Schizosaccharomyces pombe: one gene and its partners. Changing the gene in region 1 together with any one later gene gives a genetic interaction. Each region holds a gene or a part of one and is shown in the gene's direction. Other genes may lie near its edges.

Region 1 (5,899 bases):
AAATGTAGAACCATTTGTGAACGCTGGGATCAACAGGAGCAGGAGCGAGCTCTTGAGCAGGAGGAATAGTGCTGGAAACGGAAGGGTCATTGGCAACAGATCCAGTGACTGAAACATTGACCAAAGAAAAGTCAGACTTGGCATCAGTCTTACCGGTAATAAGGCGCTCCCAAGCTTCATTGCACTCACGAACAACTTCTTCAGCATACTTACGGTTCTTGCATTCACCACTGAAAGCAAAGGAATTTTCAGGCTTGCCATCGGGGATCTTGTAAATGCGGAACCACTCGTTAGTAGCACGGATTAAGCCAGGCATATGACGTTCAACATCCTCAATATCATTAAGCTTAGGAGCTAAAGGGTCATTAACGTCGATGACAATAACCTTCCAGTCAGTCTCACCCTCGTCAAGAAGGGCCATAACACCCAAGACCTTAACTTGCTTGACTTGGCCGGTGTAGCCACGAGCTTCACCGATCTCACAAACATCGAGAGGATCGCTATCACCCTTGGCCTTGGTTTCAGGATGAACAACATTAGGATCCTCATAGGTTTGAGGAAAAGCACCGTAGTTCCAAATGTAACCGTGGTGAGGAAAGCAGTTACGAACGAAACGAAGCTTACCCTTCTTAGTATCTTGCTTGATAGGGTTCAAGGTAGCTTCCTTGGTAATTTCAAGCTTAGCCTGAGTCCAACGAGGGATCTCAACGACCATGTTCAAGATGGTCTTCTCAGCATTGGCATACAAGGGGATATCGTGCCAAGAAGAGATAGGAGTACCATTTTTCTCAACATAGACTTGGTAGTCCAATGTGTTCAAAGCGCCAACTTCACGGGTAGTGTATTCACTCATGACTGAAAAGTGTTTTTGGTTAAGTACAGGTTGCAATGTGCACTAATTCGCAACATCTGCTACAAAATTTGTAACTCAATGTATACAAAAAATCTTATATTAATTTATAAAATTTTCTAAGGAACAGGTTTATATTTTTAATATCGCATGTTTTTATTTTATACAGCATAAAGATGGATTTGTGAATCTTACATAGGGTAATACTGTTATAAAGTTACTTTCTTTAGCAATACTTTATTAAATGATTGATAGTAAAGGAGATTTCCACAACATGATAAAAATTTAGCACAAATAAATTATTAAAATTAAATTGTTTTACGAGAATTTATCAATTTTTTATATTAAACACAATCAAAGATATTTATTAGCCTTGTATGCAGGTTTCTTTTCTGTCGATATGGATCTTGTGGAATACTGATTTTGCGATCAGTAAATTCTTGGCTGATGCAGTAGAAGCCATAATGTTTATATAAAAATATACGAAATATTTAAATTAATTAATTATGGAAATTTTTGTTTTTAAATTCCAGATCAGCTACTAAAAAAGATAAATGACAAACGAAAAAATAATGCAAAAAAAAGCTCATACATAAAAACAAAATATTGCCGATGTCCTTCATTTTTTGTTTAAAAATAAACGGTTTAATTTTAAACGATACCAAAAAAAAAAAACTAATGTTCGTAAATAACGAGATATGCAATTGTTAATGAATAAGATGTAGGTCTCAAATATGTTATTTGTGAAATCTTTGAATGGTTGCCAAATAATAAATTAGACGAATAAATTAAAGAATTTTCTTGTTATTTATTGTCTAAATTTCTTCGAATAAGAATTATTTTCAAGTCAGTAAACATATTAAATCTTCGATTAAGGACTATATGATATAATATATCTTCTCACTAATTGTTGTATATGAGGCATTTTATGTAATTGATCAAAAACAATTGAAAATTCAATAGAGCGAAAAATAAAATTTTCATCTGTTATCCATTTTTAAGTATGTTATTGAAACCACCCATTTTCATTGCTATGCAATTATAATATAGCTAACTCAATTACCAAGTCCCATTTAGTATTTCGTCAATCGCGATGTCGTCGAAAAAAAGAAAGTCTCCCCCCCAGGAATCTTTAACTTCATATTTTGAAAAATCGTCTAAATCCTCAAAAAAGTACGGCTCTCAAAACAAAGATTCTGATTCATCCTCGACATGCCTTCAACAGAAAATAGAAATTCAATGGAGCATCACCGATTCATTATACATAGCAAAGTATGGAAAACTAAAAAAGACTAAAAAATTTATTGCATTTGATTTAGATGGAACGCTCATAAAAACTAAATCTGGTAGAGTATTTTCAAAAGATGCAGCTGACTGGACCTGGTGGCATCCAAGCGTTGTCCCAAAATTGAAGGCTTTATACCAAGACAATTATTCTCTTGTTATTTTCAGTAATCAAAACGGAATTCCAAGAAAACCTTCTGCCGGACATACCTTTCAGATGAAGATTCGTGCTATTTTTGAGTCATTAGATCTACCTATTGTATTGTATGCTGCCATCTTGAAAGATAAGTTTAGAAAACCATTGACAGGAATGTGGAATTCCTTTTTAAAAGACGTGAACCGTTCAATTGGTGAGTTGACGCTTGTAATTTATCAAGGCCTATTAACATTTTTCACCCTTTAGATTTATCTTTCATCAAATACGTAGGTGATGCTGCAGGCCGTCCGGGTGATCATAATTCAACTGATTTAAAGTTTGCTGAAAACATTGGGATTAAATTTGAGACGCCCGAGCAATTTTTCTTGGGGCATTCATTTGTGCCTCCAAACTTTGAATCATTTCATCCAAAGAATTACCTTGTAAGAAATTCTTCTTCACATCCATACCATTTTAAAAAATCCGAGCATCAAGAAATTGTTGTTTTAGTTGGGTTTCCTTCTTCTGGGAAGAGTACTTTAGCTGAATCTCAGATTGTCACTCAAGGATACGAAAGGGTAAATCAAGACATCTTAAAAACGAAATCAAAATGCATCAAGGCTGCCATAGAGGCACTTAAAAAAGAAAAATCGGTTGTCATAGGTATGTACTCGATCATTTCAACGACTTACGCGATTTCAGACAACACAAACCCTACAATAGAATCACGAAAAATGTGGATTGACATAGCCCAAGAATTTGAGATCCCTATACGCTGCATTCATCTTCAGTCATCTGAGGAACTTGCCAGACACAACAACGTTTTCCGTTACATTCACCATAACGTAAGTTACCTGTTGGAGCATTAGAAAGACTTAGAAGAATTCCTAACCAATTCTAGCAAAAACAACTTCCCGAGATAGCGTTTAATTCTTTCAAATCTCGTTTTCAAATGCCAACAGTAGAAGAAGGTTTTACAAATGTTGAAGAAGTTCCTTTTAAATGCCTTAAAGACTATGAAGATACATGGAATTATTGGTACGAATAATACGAATGATATCTAAGAAATTATTAAATTGCATTAATTTCAAAAATATATAGTTATTGATCCCACTAAAACCAAACGTTTATAAAAATTATGACTAGCACACTTAACACCGAAATTTATCTTCAAAGCTTTAGCTGATTTGAAGAAACAATCGGATGATATTTGTTTGAATTACTTGCAACCTTTTTGCGCTCACCTCCTTTACCAATGACCTCAACATTCGATTTTGATAATTGACGAACGACTTGTTCAGTACCGGAATTCCTTCTTTTCTCAGCCATTTGCTTACGTTTCTCAGCATGTTTTCTACGCACCCGCCTGCGGCGTGCTTGCTTTTGTTGGTGGTCCATTTCAGTCGATGAAATGGCGATACCTGACCGAGTAATAGTTTCACCTTCACGATTCTCATTAGACGGTTTATAAACTTCTTGAGGAGCCAATGCCATAGTGTCAGAGGCAGCAGTTGGCTGAACGTCCTCCATTGCTAAAGTGGGTGCATTAGAAACAATTTCAACAGTAGACTCAGGAGGAGGGGGAACATAATGCCAAGAAGCAAGAGAATCTAAAGTGCGGCTGACTTCCGAAAACAATGCCTTGATTTCTTCATGTTCTTTTTCTTTCTTTTTATCAGCTTCACTCTTATATGTGTCGGCGTTGCTCTTTTTAAGGAATTCTTCTTCATATTCTTCTGCTAAAGAACGCTGAGACTTATTTTCGTTTAACTCGAATAATTCGCTTGGTCGAAATTCAGTAACAGCAACTGGCGCGCGTTTAGGTACATCATCAAATGTTTTGGAAATAATTCGGTTTTTAATTAAATCTTCTAATGTCTCAGTAGTCTCTTCCGTTTGTACAGGGACAGGTTTAGCACCAGTTTCAAATTCCAAATCAACGTCTAACAGTGAATTAGAAGGTCGTCCTTTAGACGTTGCCTCCCCCATCATGGTCCAGGACTTCTTGGCAACGTTTTCAGCCTCGAGCTCACGAATTTGCTGAGTCAAACGGGCTTTATCGCGCTCATAAGAAGATAATTGATCAGCTGAAACATCGTCTTCTTCGTCACTAGCAAATAAATCTTTCTTCACTCGATCAAAGGTAGCATACTCATTGTCAGAGCTCTCATTATTTTCTTCAATAACATTTTGTTGCACATCATTTTTGAAATCCGGTTTACTTGTTCTTTTTCTTTTGGATTCGGCCTTTTTCTTTTTTAGTTCACGGCGACCGGCCGCTGTTTTTGGACCAAAAAAATCTTCGTACATAATGGAGTCAGCCTGAGGACCATTTGATTCATCTTCAGAGTCTTCCATATTCTCATCGGGATCCATTAACAAGTCAATACCGTCATCTTCATCGCCGAGGACACCCTCTTCGACTGCTTCCTCTTCTAAAGCTAAGGTTTGCTTGTTAAAATTATCAATATCAAAAAAACCATCATTAAGTCCAAATGCGTCTTTTTTCTGTTCGATTTGTTGTCCTTCTTCATTCATAATTTCAGCTTCATCTCCTGAAACATCTTCGGCAGAACTTTCGTCGACATCTTCTAGATTTTCTGGACCAGAGAACCCTAAAAATTCATCATCAGCATCATCCCGATTGTTCATTTCACTATTGTCAGAGAGTTCCTGATGACTTGTTTCATCATCCTCATCCTGGAAAGAAGTAATGCTATCTTCTTCTTCGTCTTCGTTTTCAACATCAACTTGAGGGAGATCATCTAATGCATACTTGGCAGCTAATGCTAGTTGGTTATATATTTGCCAATTATCTAATCCTTTTGTGACAATTGTTTGGATGGGACTTGTAGATGGGATTTTTATATTTGAGAAAACCTCAATAGCTTTTTCAACCAATTGCTTTGAATCCTCTTTATTCGGGAACAAAAAGAGTGTTGGCTCGGAATTTATAAGTTCAGTCATATCAAATCTTTTTTTTTTTTTAAATCTCACAAAACTTTGACTAAATATCTTGGAAGTATTCCAAGTACGAAACAAATAAATACCAATTGAGCTTAAATATTACACACCAAACCTTTTGCAAAGTACTTGCAACTCCTTTTTCCAAAATAATCAAAAAGACGTATGTTTTTTGTTTTAGATGTTTTTTCTTTTTTGTAATGTAGTAAAATTTTAGTAAGTATGGGCATCAACAATTTACTTAGTGAAGCGTTGCGTACTATATTATATAAGAAGGGTAGGGTTTGTGACTGTTTTGGACATAAAGCTAAGTTCACCTAAATCCAACACACAGTTCGCCGCAACCTCTATACTACAAAATGGGAAAACCCGCAGGATTGAACGCCGCTCGTAAGCTTCGCAATCATCGCCGTGAGGAGCGTTGGGCCGATGCTCATTACAAGAAGCGCTTATTGGGAACCGCTTACAAGTCATCACCTTTCGGTGGATCGTCTCATGCTAAGGGTATCGTTGTCGAAAAGATTGGTGTAGAAGCTAAGCAACCTAACTCTGCTATTCGTAAATGTGTTCGTGTTCAGTTGATCAAGAATGGTAAGAAAGTTACCGCTTTCGTTCCCCACGATGGTTGTCTCAACTTCGTTGATGAAAACGACGAAGTTCTTCTT
Region 2 (4,488 bases), on another chromosome or scaffold:
TTCGTTTTGTAACATTGAAACCAAACAAGTAAGTATGAGGATCTTAATTTACAATTTAAAGTACATTTTCAATGATAGCAATTGAAATTGTTTTTTGCATAAGGAGATAGAGGTGATCTAGTTTATCTCGTTCATATTGATCTTACTGACTTTATATTAAATAGTACAATTCACCTCGGAAAATTTGGTTCATTTCTCGCTGATGATTTGTTTGGAAAGCATTTTGACGAAACTTTTGAAATTTATCAACCCAAAAAAATTCGAGTTTTAAAAACAAGGGAGGTACAGTATATCGAGGAAGAAAAGAAAACGAATCAAGAACTTAATGATTGTCGAGGCAATCAGCTTATGACTCAAGAGGAGATTGATGAACTGCGCGCAAACATTAAAGCTGGTGGACTTCGTGCTGAAGAGGCCATCAAACAGTTGACTAATAGTAGTAAAACTTTTGAGCAAAAAACTTTATTTGCTCAGGAGAAATATGTTACGAGAAAAGGGGAAAAGTATCTTCAACGCTTTCAGGTTTTACGACCTTGTGTTGAAGTTGTGGCTAATTACATGATTGAACATGATCCGTATAAGATACTTGATCTTACTGCCGAGTGTATAAGCTTGATGCTTACTCTTGGAAATGTTAAACCTGGGGGTAGATATTTGGTAGTTGATGAGACTGGATGCATGTTCCTTGGTTCTCTTATTGACCGTGTTGCTGGTGATTGCAAAATAACCCTGGTCCATCCAAATGAGCAACCTAATAGCTCTTGTTTAGAGTATTGGGGGCAAGACTTTAAAGAGGATAGTTTGGTTCAAAAAGGGATTTTGAAAACTTTGAATTGGTATCAAGTTACGAATCCAACCGAGACTTTAAGTGAGTATTCGGTTGAAGATATTCCTGAATCAGAGTTGAATGAGATGAAACTTCGCCACCGTAAGCGCTATGAAACGAAGAAAGCTACATTTAACCGTTTGAAGAATACTATTGATGATTTTGAAAGTGGTAACTATGATGCTCTCTTTATACTATCTATTCACACCCCAATGTCTGTTCTTCAACATCTTCTTCCAAAGCTCGGTATATCACGTCCTTTCATGGTATACTCAACATATCAGCAAGTCTTAGTCGAGACGTATCATCAATTATCTAAATGGGATAACTTATTTGTAGAAAAGACAGCTCAAAGTACTGAAAATGACGAAAAGGTTGATCAAGGAGACGTTGCTATTGATACACAGAAAGAGAAAGTCATCATGCTGGATATTCATGAGATTCGTACACGACCTTACCAAGTCTTGCCAGAAAGGACTCATCCATTCATGACTGTTAGGGGTGATATGGGTTTCGTTTTATCTGGGATCAAGGTGTTAACTTCTGACAGCAATCTAGCTGCCGGAAGGTTTCCAAAACGTAAGGGCCAGAAAGAAACTTCTTCTGTCAAAAAAGCAAAATTGGAAAATTAGATATGAAATATTACTTTTGGAATATTTTTTTCAAGGCTACTCTATTAGATCAACAAGGGGAGTTACAATTTTGGACATAAACTCAGTTACGTTGAATTGGGAAAAGGTTTTTGTTATATTAAAAAGTTTTTTGTTTCATTCTTTAACTTAAAATTTTCATACGTATCAGAAAATGAATATGTTAGTTGGATAATGTAATTGACGGTGCGGTTTCAGGTTAACTCAATTTTGAAGAGCGTTAAAGTACAGTGTCTTTTGCTTGGCATTTTCATTCTTTTTAAAAATAGATTACTTGTAATAAGTATAAAATTAGTTACAATTTGACTGCTGCACATATACGTATTTAAGTAAAATAAGTAGTACATGGTCAGAGCAGCTGTGGATAGCCTTTTTGATCTTAAGCATGTTAATTTTAAATAAATATAAAAACTGATGAAAAAACAGCTTATAAATGACAATGTCGCATTTTGGTCTTATTTACTCGGTATAATGAACCCCATACTAGCGCTATCGCCAAGTTCGTTAATTTCGAAAGGACACCTAACCACGCTCCTTTCACCACTAAGCTTTACTTCGTCGAGTTTATAACCAATGACTGAATTTATTGGTTCTCGTATTAGTCTAATTAGCAAATCTGACATTCGGTACGTGAGAGCATTATCTTTCCTTTACTAATATTTAGTTATGTGGGCATTTTGCAGGACATCAATTCCCAGGACTCAACACTGGCTTTGAAGCATGGTAGGTTGAGTACCCAGCATTGATTACTAACAGTTTAGTCCGTTGGTGTGGTACTGAAGGAAGAAAACAAGATCCCTCTCAAGAAATCCCCCCATCAGATAATGTATTTGATTACATTGTTTTTCGTGGAAGCGATGTTAAAGATTTACGGATTGAGGAACCTGCTACTACTCCTTCTGCTCCCCCGGTTCAACCTCCTAATGATCCTGCAATTATTGGGGTATGTTACGTCTAAAGAGTGGTGGAGATTCTCATTAGTATATCTAGTATTAATTATCTTTGGCACTCTTTATATATCTGACAAGATCATGATTTTAACTATAATTAGTCTAATAGCGGGCAGTATAATTGGAACCAAGCGCAGACTGCCCAACCTCCTCAGCCTGTTCAACCTAACCCTTATGGAGCTCCATACCAACAGGCTCCTCCAGCAGGTGCACCTTACTATATGTACCCGAATGCTCCCGCTCAATTTGTACCTCCTGGAGGTTTGCCTTTGGGTACTCCCTTAGACGCATCCACACCTGCGGTCCCGTATTATGGGGCACCTGATCAACAGCAAATGGGTCAACGTCCTGAGTTTGCTCAAAATGTTTCTCAAGGGTTTGCCGGTCAGGCCCCGTACAACGTACGTCCTGGATACGGAATGCCTTCAAACCAGAAGCCTCCCAACTTTGCTCCGGGCATGCCTGCTCCTGGTCCTACCGCGGTATCTGCATCTCCGTCTCTTCAATCCATGCCGCCCACGAATGGAGTGATACCAGGTGCACAGCCCTCCATTGAAGCATCTATTGAAAAAGAAAGTACTAGTATACGGAATTCCACTGTCACAAATGACCGTGTTGTGAATACTACTGTGGATGTCTCTCAATCCCAAACCGTTGAAACATCTGGACCTTCTAAAGAAGTTCCTACAACTCAACCTGATGCTAGTGCTGCAAAGCCTCGTACCGAATTTGACTTTCAAACTGCAAATCAAAAGTTTCAATCGATGAAAGATGATTTGTTAAAAGGAAAAAATGATGAAGAAGCCGAAGAATTTTACAAGCCTAAGCAATCTTTTTTTGATAATATTAGTTGTGAAAGTAAAGAGAAGGGTATGGAAGCTGCAGATAGAAGAGCTCTACGAGATCGCGAACGTTCTTTGAACATGGAGACATTTGGCGTTGCTGGCTCTGGAAATCGCGGCCGTCGTGGACGTGGTCGTGGACGTGGTGGTAGAGGTCGTGGACGTGGATATGCAAGAAATCAATATAACCAATACAGGAATTCCAATGGCTCTCAACCTAGAGCCCAGCCTGCAAACGACCAATGAACTGCATTTCTTATAATGAGTACAGATGAAGTATCCTCGTTTCTCTAGATTGAGCTTCGTCTTCGTTTCAATCATGATGAACTCAAAATTTATGGACATGTATTTAACGACCCGAAAAAAGGTGTTCTCTTATATAAACCAAAAGGATTAGTCGTTGTTATTTGATATTTAACTTAGGAGTTTTGTTAAGTTCTTGTAGAGTGCTTTAAAAACTATACTTATCTGCTCATGTATTACGCAAGAAGAACAAGCATTGAAACGATATCCTATACCGAGATTTCGTAAAGGTATTACGAATAAATGTTAATGGGTTACATATAATTACCAAAAGGTTGAAGACTTAACCAATCCGCTAATGTTTATTCTTTTATACACCTTGATAGACCCAAAGCATCGCTGGTTGCATGACTGAACATTGAACAACCCGTGTTTTTCAACAGTCGTTTCGTTTTTGAAAAGCGTTTTGTAAAAATTTGATTCAGTCGACTTGTTTGAAGCTGACAAACTATAGAATCCAAACAACAATGTTTGAGCAGTATGAACAATTTATAAGCGAATCGTTTTAAAAATAAAAATGTGCTCTCTTAATTTTAGCATTTTTTAATAGTTTAAATTTCACGAACTTAACTACGTGATATAGTGTTTTAATAATCAGCAGTAGAAAAATTAGAACTTAATATTATTTGATCATCAACGAATATCGGAACGCAAGAGTTAACACGTAAACGATACATTACAATTATGTTTTGTTATCAAAAGTAAATTGATCCAGCGATTGAAGCTAAACCAGAGAAAAACATAAATGCGCTTCGAAATAAGTTTTTAAAACCCCATCTGTGAATTATACTGCGGAAATTTTGAGTAGCCTTTACATCTTTAAGTATTAGATCTGGATTTAACGTTTGTAAAGAGTTAATGTCCTTTTTCATAAACAAAAGCGTGAAAGGAATAATACATAGTCCAGATAAAGCCGA
Region 3 (5,169 bases), on another chromosome or scaffold:
TTTTTGATCACAGATTGTAAAAAGGGAATCTAATTATACTCAAGCTACCTAACAATTTTTCAGCATCATAAGCGGATTAGTTCATTGAAAGGCTCAACATTTTGCGAAGAACAGAAATAAATAATTTGATGATTTTTATCAATTCCAAAATCGAACTTGTAAAAATGTTGCCAATCCCATTTGTAATATCCCTATTCTGAGCTATTTCGACTGAGAAGAGATTGCCTATTATTCTCTTAGAACGTTCATTGAACGTTTTTGGAGTGTTCTGAAAAAAGATAATAAATTTAGTTGTTTTTATCTATTAATTACAATCAAAAATCGAGCCTTTAATAATGTATTGTATGGTTATCAAAAAGCTTTATTTATTTCTAACAACGCTAAAAAACTTTTTTTTTTACTCATTTAATATAAACAAAACAGTACAACTATTTAGTTTTAAGAAATTTGATAGCATTTCTACAAATGTTTCAACTCTAAGGCTCTCTCGGATTCTGCTCATAACGCACAGATAGTGTTTAGTGAAAATTGACAGAAATAGGCGACTCAGTGAATTTATTATACATTAATTAGCTAAAAAGAAGCAACCGCCTTTCTCTGTGATTATCGTTTGGTGACCATAGGATGATATTTGGATTGGATTTATAAAAGACTTGTATACAGCGTTTGTAAAAGATCTAGCGGCTGGAAAATCAATATGAATCAAGATAAATCGAAAGAAACTTCCGAATTGGATGATCTGGCGCTTCCTCGATCGATCATTATGCGATTAGTCAAAGGTGTCTTACCTGAAAAGAGTCTTGTACAAAAAGAAGCTCTCAAGGCTATGATCAATTCAGCAACTCTTTTTGTTAGTTTTCTAACATCCGCGTATGTAATCTATATAACTATATAACCATATTGAAGGGCTTGTATGATGAAAGAATTTATTATATAATTGCCAATTTTATTTTCTTCTGGAAACACTTTGTATATGAATGAATAAAGACTAACGTTACTTAGTTCTGGGGAAATTGCTACGAATAATAACAGAAAAATTCTTATGCCTCAAGACGTTTTGAATGCGCTCGATGAAATTGAGTATCCAGAATTCTCTAAAACGTTAAAAAAACATCTCGAAGGTATGTTTCTTACTCTGTACTTCTTCTAACTATTAAAGCATATGAGCTTGCCTTGAAAGAAAAACGATTGAAACTCCCTAACGTATCAGATGTTGATAACAGAAAGAAAGCCAAAATAGACGCGCATGACACTACTCCTCTAGATGAAGAAAAAGACGAATTAGAAGAAGAACGAATTGCGGAGGATATAGCACAAAATGAAGTTGAGCAAAATATTGATGATGTGGAGGACCTCGAAGAAGTGAATGATACATTAGACGCAAACGCAGAATCTCCTCAAATAGAAACCATTCATCTTACAGATGCTACGGGAAACCCAATTGAAGATAGCTCTGAATCCGACTCAGAAGAATCTCTTCAACTTAATGATTCTTCGTAATTACTGTTGGTTAAATGTATATGAAGATTGTCAATAGTCCTAACTTACATGGAGAGCTAATCATATTTTTTTACACGAAAAACTAAACCTTCTTTATTTTTTAATGGATTTTTTGGATACCTGTTAATACCCCAATTTACATCCTTGTATCCAAACATAGCTTTTTTAAACAGCAGTTTGAGATAATGTCTTTCTAGCACAACATGTATACTCGTTTAATGACATATATTTAGAAAGAATCATTAGATTGTTTACAGTTGTAACTCAATATTAGTCAATCTAGAATTTTTTTGAAAATCAACATTCAATAGGGAGAAGGTCGAAAAGAAAAGAAAAAGTTCATTCTCGAATTAAACAAATGCATTTTATTTTCCATCAGATTAACTTATGTCAACAATTGTAAATTCAAAAGTCTGTCGCCTTTACCTTCGCACACTTTCTCTACGTAAAAATTATAAGAATGCGAATTCTAAGTTGGAATGTGAACGGTATACAGAATCCATTCAATTATTTTCCATGGAATAAAAAAAATTCCTACAAAGAGATATTTCAAGAGTTACAGGCTGATGTAATATGTGTTCAAGAATTGAAAATGCAGAAAGACAGCTTTCCTCAACAATATGCAGTTGTTGAGGGATTCGACAGTTATTTTACATTTCCTAAGATCAGAAAAGGCTATAGTGGGGTTGGATTTTATGTAAAAAAAGATGTTGCTATTCCAGTGAAAGCAGAAGAGGGAATTACTGGCATCCTGCCAGTACGAGGACAAAAATATTCATATTCAGAAGCACCGGAGCATGAAAAGATAGGATTTTTCCCAAAAGACATTGACAGAAAAACTGCTAATTGGATTGATAGTGAAGGAAGGTGTATATTATTAGATTTTCAGATGTTCATCCTAATCGGTGTTTACTGTCCAGTAAACTCTGGAGAAAATAGACTAGAATATCGACGGGCCTTTTATAAAGCCTTACGAGAAAGAATTGAAAGATTGATAAAGGAAGGAAATCGAAAAATCATTCTCGTTGGGGATGTGAATATTTTGTGTAATCCTATTGACACTGCTGATCAAAAAGACATTATTCGAGAGAGTCTTATTCCAAGCATCATGGAATCAAGACAATGGATACGTGATTTATTACTACCAAGCAGGTTGGGACTACTGTTGGACATTGGCCGTATTCAACATCCTACTCGGAAAGGAATGTTTACATGTTGGAATACAAGACTTAATACAAGGCCCACAAATTATGGTAAGTTCTGAATTGTTATTTTTTTTACAATGGATAGGTACGAGAATTGATTACACTTTGGCAACACCCGATTTATTACCTTGGGTTCAAGATGCAGATATTATGGCTGAGGTCATGGGTTCAGATCATTGCCCCGTATATTTAGATTTAAAAGAAGAATATGAAGGAAAAAAGTTGTCCAACTTTCTAAGTCACTCAAAAGAACCACCTTTACTATCAACGGCGCATCATTCAGCCTATCGGCCATCAAAAAATATTCATTCAATGTTCCAACATTTCAATTCGATGAAAAAGAATAAAAACAACTCACCCACTCAGAGCGAAAACGTATCTGCTTCTGCGTCCAGCGGCTCCTCACCAACTGTTTCTCGTGCAAACTCTGTCATAGACGTCGATGCCTACCCACCGGAAAAGAGAAGACGAAAAGAACAATCGAAGCTTCTTTCATTTTTTGCGAAGCAAAAGGAAGAGAAAGAAGAAACCAATAAAACAGAAGACGTTTCGATTGAGGTCCTTGATAACAATAATGAATCTGACATAGGGTTGACAGTAAAAAAAAAAGTAGAAAACGGGAACGCCTGGAAGCAAATATTCAGTGAACGAGCTCCTCCACTTTGTGAGGGTCACAAGGAACCTTGCAAGTATTTGACAGTGAGGAAGCCGGGAATCAATTACGGGCGGAAGTTTTGGATTTGTGCCAGACCGGTTGGTGAACTGATTAAAAACTCAAATGCAGTTTCTGAGGAAGATACTCAACCGTTCCAATGCAGGTTCTTTATCTGGGACTCAGATTGGAGAGCAAATTCAAAGGACTGAAAATTTGTAATGACTAGCATAACTTGCTCTTAATCAATTCTCAATTTTGATGTGTATAAACCGCAAAAAGCATTGAGCAGTGCATCACACATCTTTCATTAACATTCTTAATATGTATATACGGAATTTTGTACGGTTAAGATTTCTTTTTTTGAGATCCGAGCATCATTTCCAAACATATAACTTTGTTTGGATGTACTTTTCTTCTGCACACCGGACATTTTTGTGTGGCAGCCGTTGTACCTAAAGCACTTAGTATACAAAAATTGCAAAATATATGCCCACAGGGAGTACAAGATAGGTTTTCCGGACTATCCAGACAAATTACACACTTATAATCAGCTAGTCGTTGTGAAGATGGAACAACCTGTTTTTTGCTAGGTTCTTCTTTTTCAATTTCGGCGTTGGTGGTCGATGGGTTCTTTCCCTGTTCAAATTTTTGTTTTCTTGGATCATAGGAAGTCTCATCAGTTAAATCAATCATATCGCTTATAGTAGTAGGTTGCGCGTGAATACTATTAACATTTGTTAAACTGTTTTCAACGGAAGCTGGATGATTGTTGTAGGTGAATCTTTGATTTATGTCATCAGCATCATTCTGAAAATTAATGTCTTCCAAGTCGAATACTTCACTTTCCACATCTATGTTTAAATCAGAGGTTTCAACAGGTAGTGTTTCTTCTTGTGCTAGCTCCGAAGCAACCTCTCTTAGCGACCTTGGTGCACGATTCAGTGGTAAAGACTCATTCTCAGAGGTAGTGCCTGAAGGATAGTCTGTTGCATCTTCTGAAACCGGAAATCCGTTTCCTGGCGAATTCTCTACTGGAGAAGAACGTCTCCTATTTATTGCTGCATTTCCAGCTGCGACTCTAGCGGATTGAGATGGGATATTGTATGGTGCAGATAAGTTTCTAACGTTGGTATCTCTCTTATGTGCGGGTGGCATTTTTTTGCCAATTGGTCCTGAAATTCGAAAATAGTTTATAGATTATTGATTAATGGGCTAATATTAGGATAATTTTGATCGTATCCTAATCGATTGTCAAATGCTTTTCAGGCTTGCTAGAATAATAAAAGAGAATTGTGTTAACGTCAATATACGCAAACAGCAATTATTTTGGCAACTTGCCAACAAGTTTAAAATTAAATTTAGTAGACCTATGATTTTTGAAGTCTACATGGAAAAATTGGCTCACTACCACAATGTTGTAAGATGCTAGTCTAATTAATATTTATGACCTTTTTCATGAGCACATTCAATAGCGCAAGCGGTATTTCAAATAAGAAAAGAGAACAGAAAAGCTGGTAAAACTTAATTGTGTATCAATAATCTTTTCAATGCAGTTCATTAAACTGCGCAACCGACATTATTATGAGTATTCCATAAACTATGCAAAAATGTATTATGGAGTGCATTAAGGAATGCTAAAATAAAAAAACGATAACAATGTATATCGCTATTTCTTTTCCAAATTGTTGAATATTAGAGGAGTGTATATACTTAGCATCAACCAACGCCTTTTTTTTAATCTAGGTCTGGGTAGACGCAATGGTCAAAAGCTATACGCGGTACGAACCAACCGAATTTTTTGGTGTCATT

The links. Genes that interact genetically often act in the same process or in processes that back each other up.
Region 2: mutations in pnk1 (region 1) and sum2 together harm fitness more than expected from each alone (negative genetic interaction), as found in Schizosaccharomyces pombe (2 studies listed by BioGRID).
Region 3: mutations in pnk1 (region 1) and apn2 are lethal when combined (synthetic lethality), as found in Schizosaccharomyces pombe (2 studies listed by BioGRID, with this or other methods).

The regions. Positions count from the first base shown.
Region 1 is NC_003424.3:2,135,483-2,141,381, reverse strand, and holds pnk1 (DNA kinase/phosphatase Pnk1), read left to right. Parts: upstream 1-1,914; 5' UTR 1,915-1,943; coding exon 1,944-2,484; exon of another isoform or gene 2,485-2,507; intron 2,508-2,537; coding exon 2,538-2,933; intron 2,934-2,972; coding exon 2,973-3,115; intron 3,116-3,171; coding exon 3,172-3,318; 3' UTR 3,319-3,440; coding exon of another isoform or gene 3,441-5,237; 3' UTR 5,238-5,348; downstream 5,349-5,899. Other genes in the region: ipp1 (inorganic pyrophosphatase), read right to left, coding at 1-853; mpp10 (U3 snoRNP-associated protein Mpp1), read right to left, coding at 3,441-5,237; rps23 (40S ribosomal protein uS12), read left to right, coding at 5,594-5,899. UniProt on the Schizosaccharomyces pombe protein: Catalyzes the phosphorylation of DNA at 5'-hydroxyl termini and can dephosphorylate its 3'-phosphate termini. Has a role in the repair of breaks in single-stranded DNA.
Region 2 is NC_003423.3:265,441-269,928, forward strand, and holds sum2 (translation initiation inhibitor), read left to right. Parts: upstream 1-2,015; 5' UTR 2,016-2,049; coding exon 2,050-2,102; exon of another isoform or gene 2,103-2,140; coding exon 2,141-2,199; exon of another isoform or gene 2,200-2,237; coding exon 2,238-2,419; exon of another isoform or gene 2,420-2,527; coding exon 2,528-3,514; 3' UTR 3,515-3,968; downstream 3,969-4,488. Other genes in the region: trm6 (translation initiation factor eIF-3 gamma subunit Gcd10), read left to right, coding at 1-28, 165-1,458; SPOM_SPBC800.14C (uncharacterized protein), read right to left, coding at 4,267-4,488. UniProt on the Schizosaccharomyces pombe protein: Required for G2/M phase checkpoint control.
Region 3 is NC_003423.3:1,285,446-1,290,614, forward strand, and holds apn2 (AP-endonuclease Apn2), read left to right. Parts: upstream 1-1,943; 5' UTR 1,944-1,960; coding exon 1,961-2,753; exon of another isoform or gene 2,754-2,790; coding exon 2,791-3,569; 3' UTR 3,570-3,705; coding exon of another isoform or gene 3,706-4,515; 3' UTR 4,516-4,649; downstream 4,650-5,169. Other genes in the region: DNA polymerase epsilon subunit Dpb4, read left to right, coding at 698-870, 1,003-1,121, 1,160-1,500; SUMO-targeted ubiquitin-protein ligase E3 Slx8, read right to left, coding at 3,706-4,515; U3 snoRNA associated protein Dip2, read left to right, coding at 5,119-5,169. UniProt on the Schizosaccharomyces pombe protein: DNA repair enzyme that cleaves apurinic/apyrimidinic (AP) sites and removes 3'-blocking groups present at single strand breaks of damaged DNA. Provides the majority of the AP-endonuclease (APE) activity. Repairs phleomycin D1-induced DNA damage.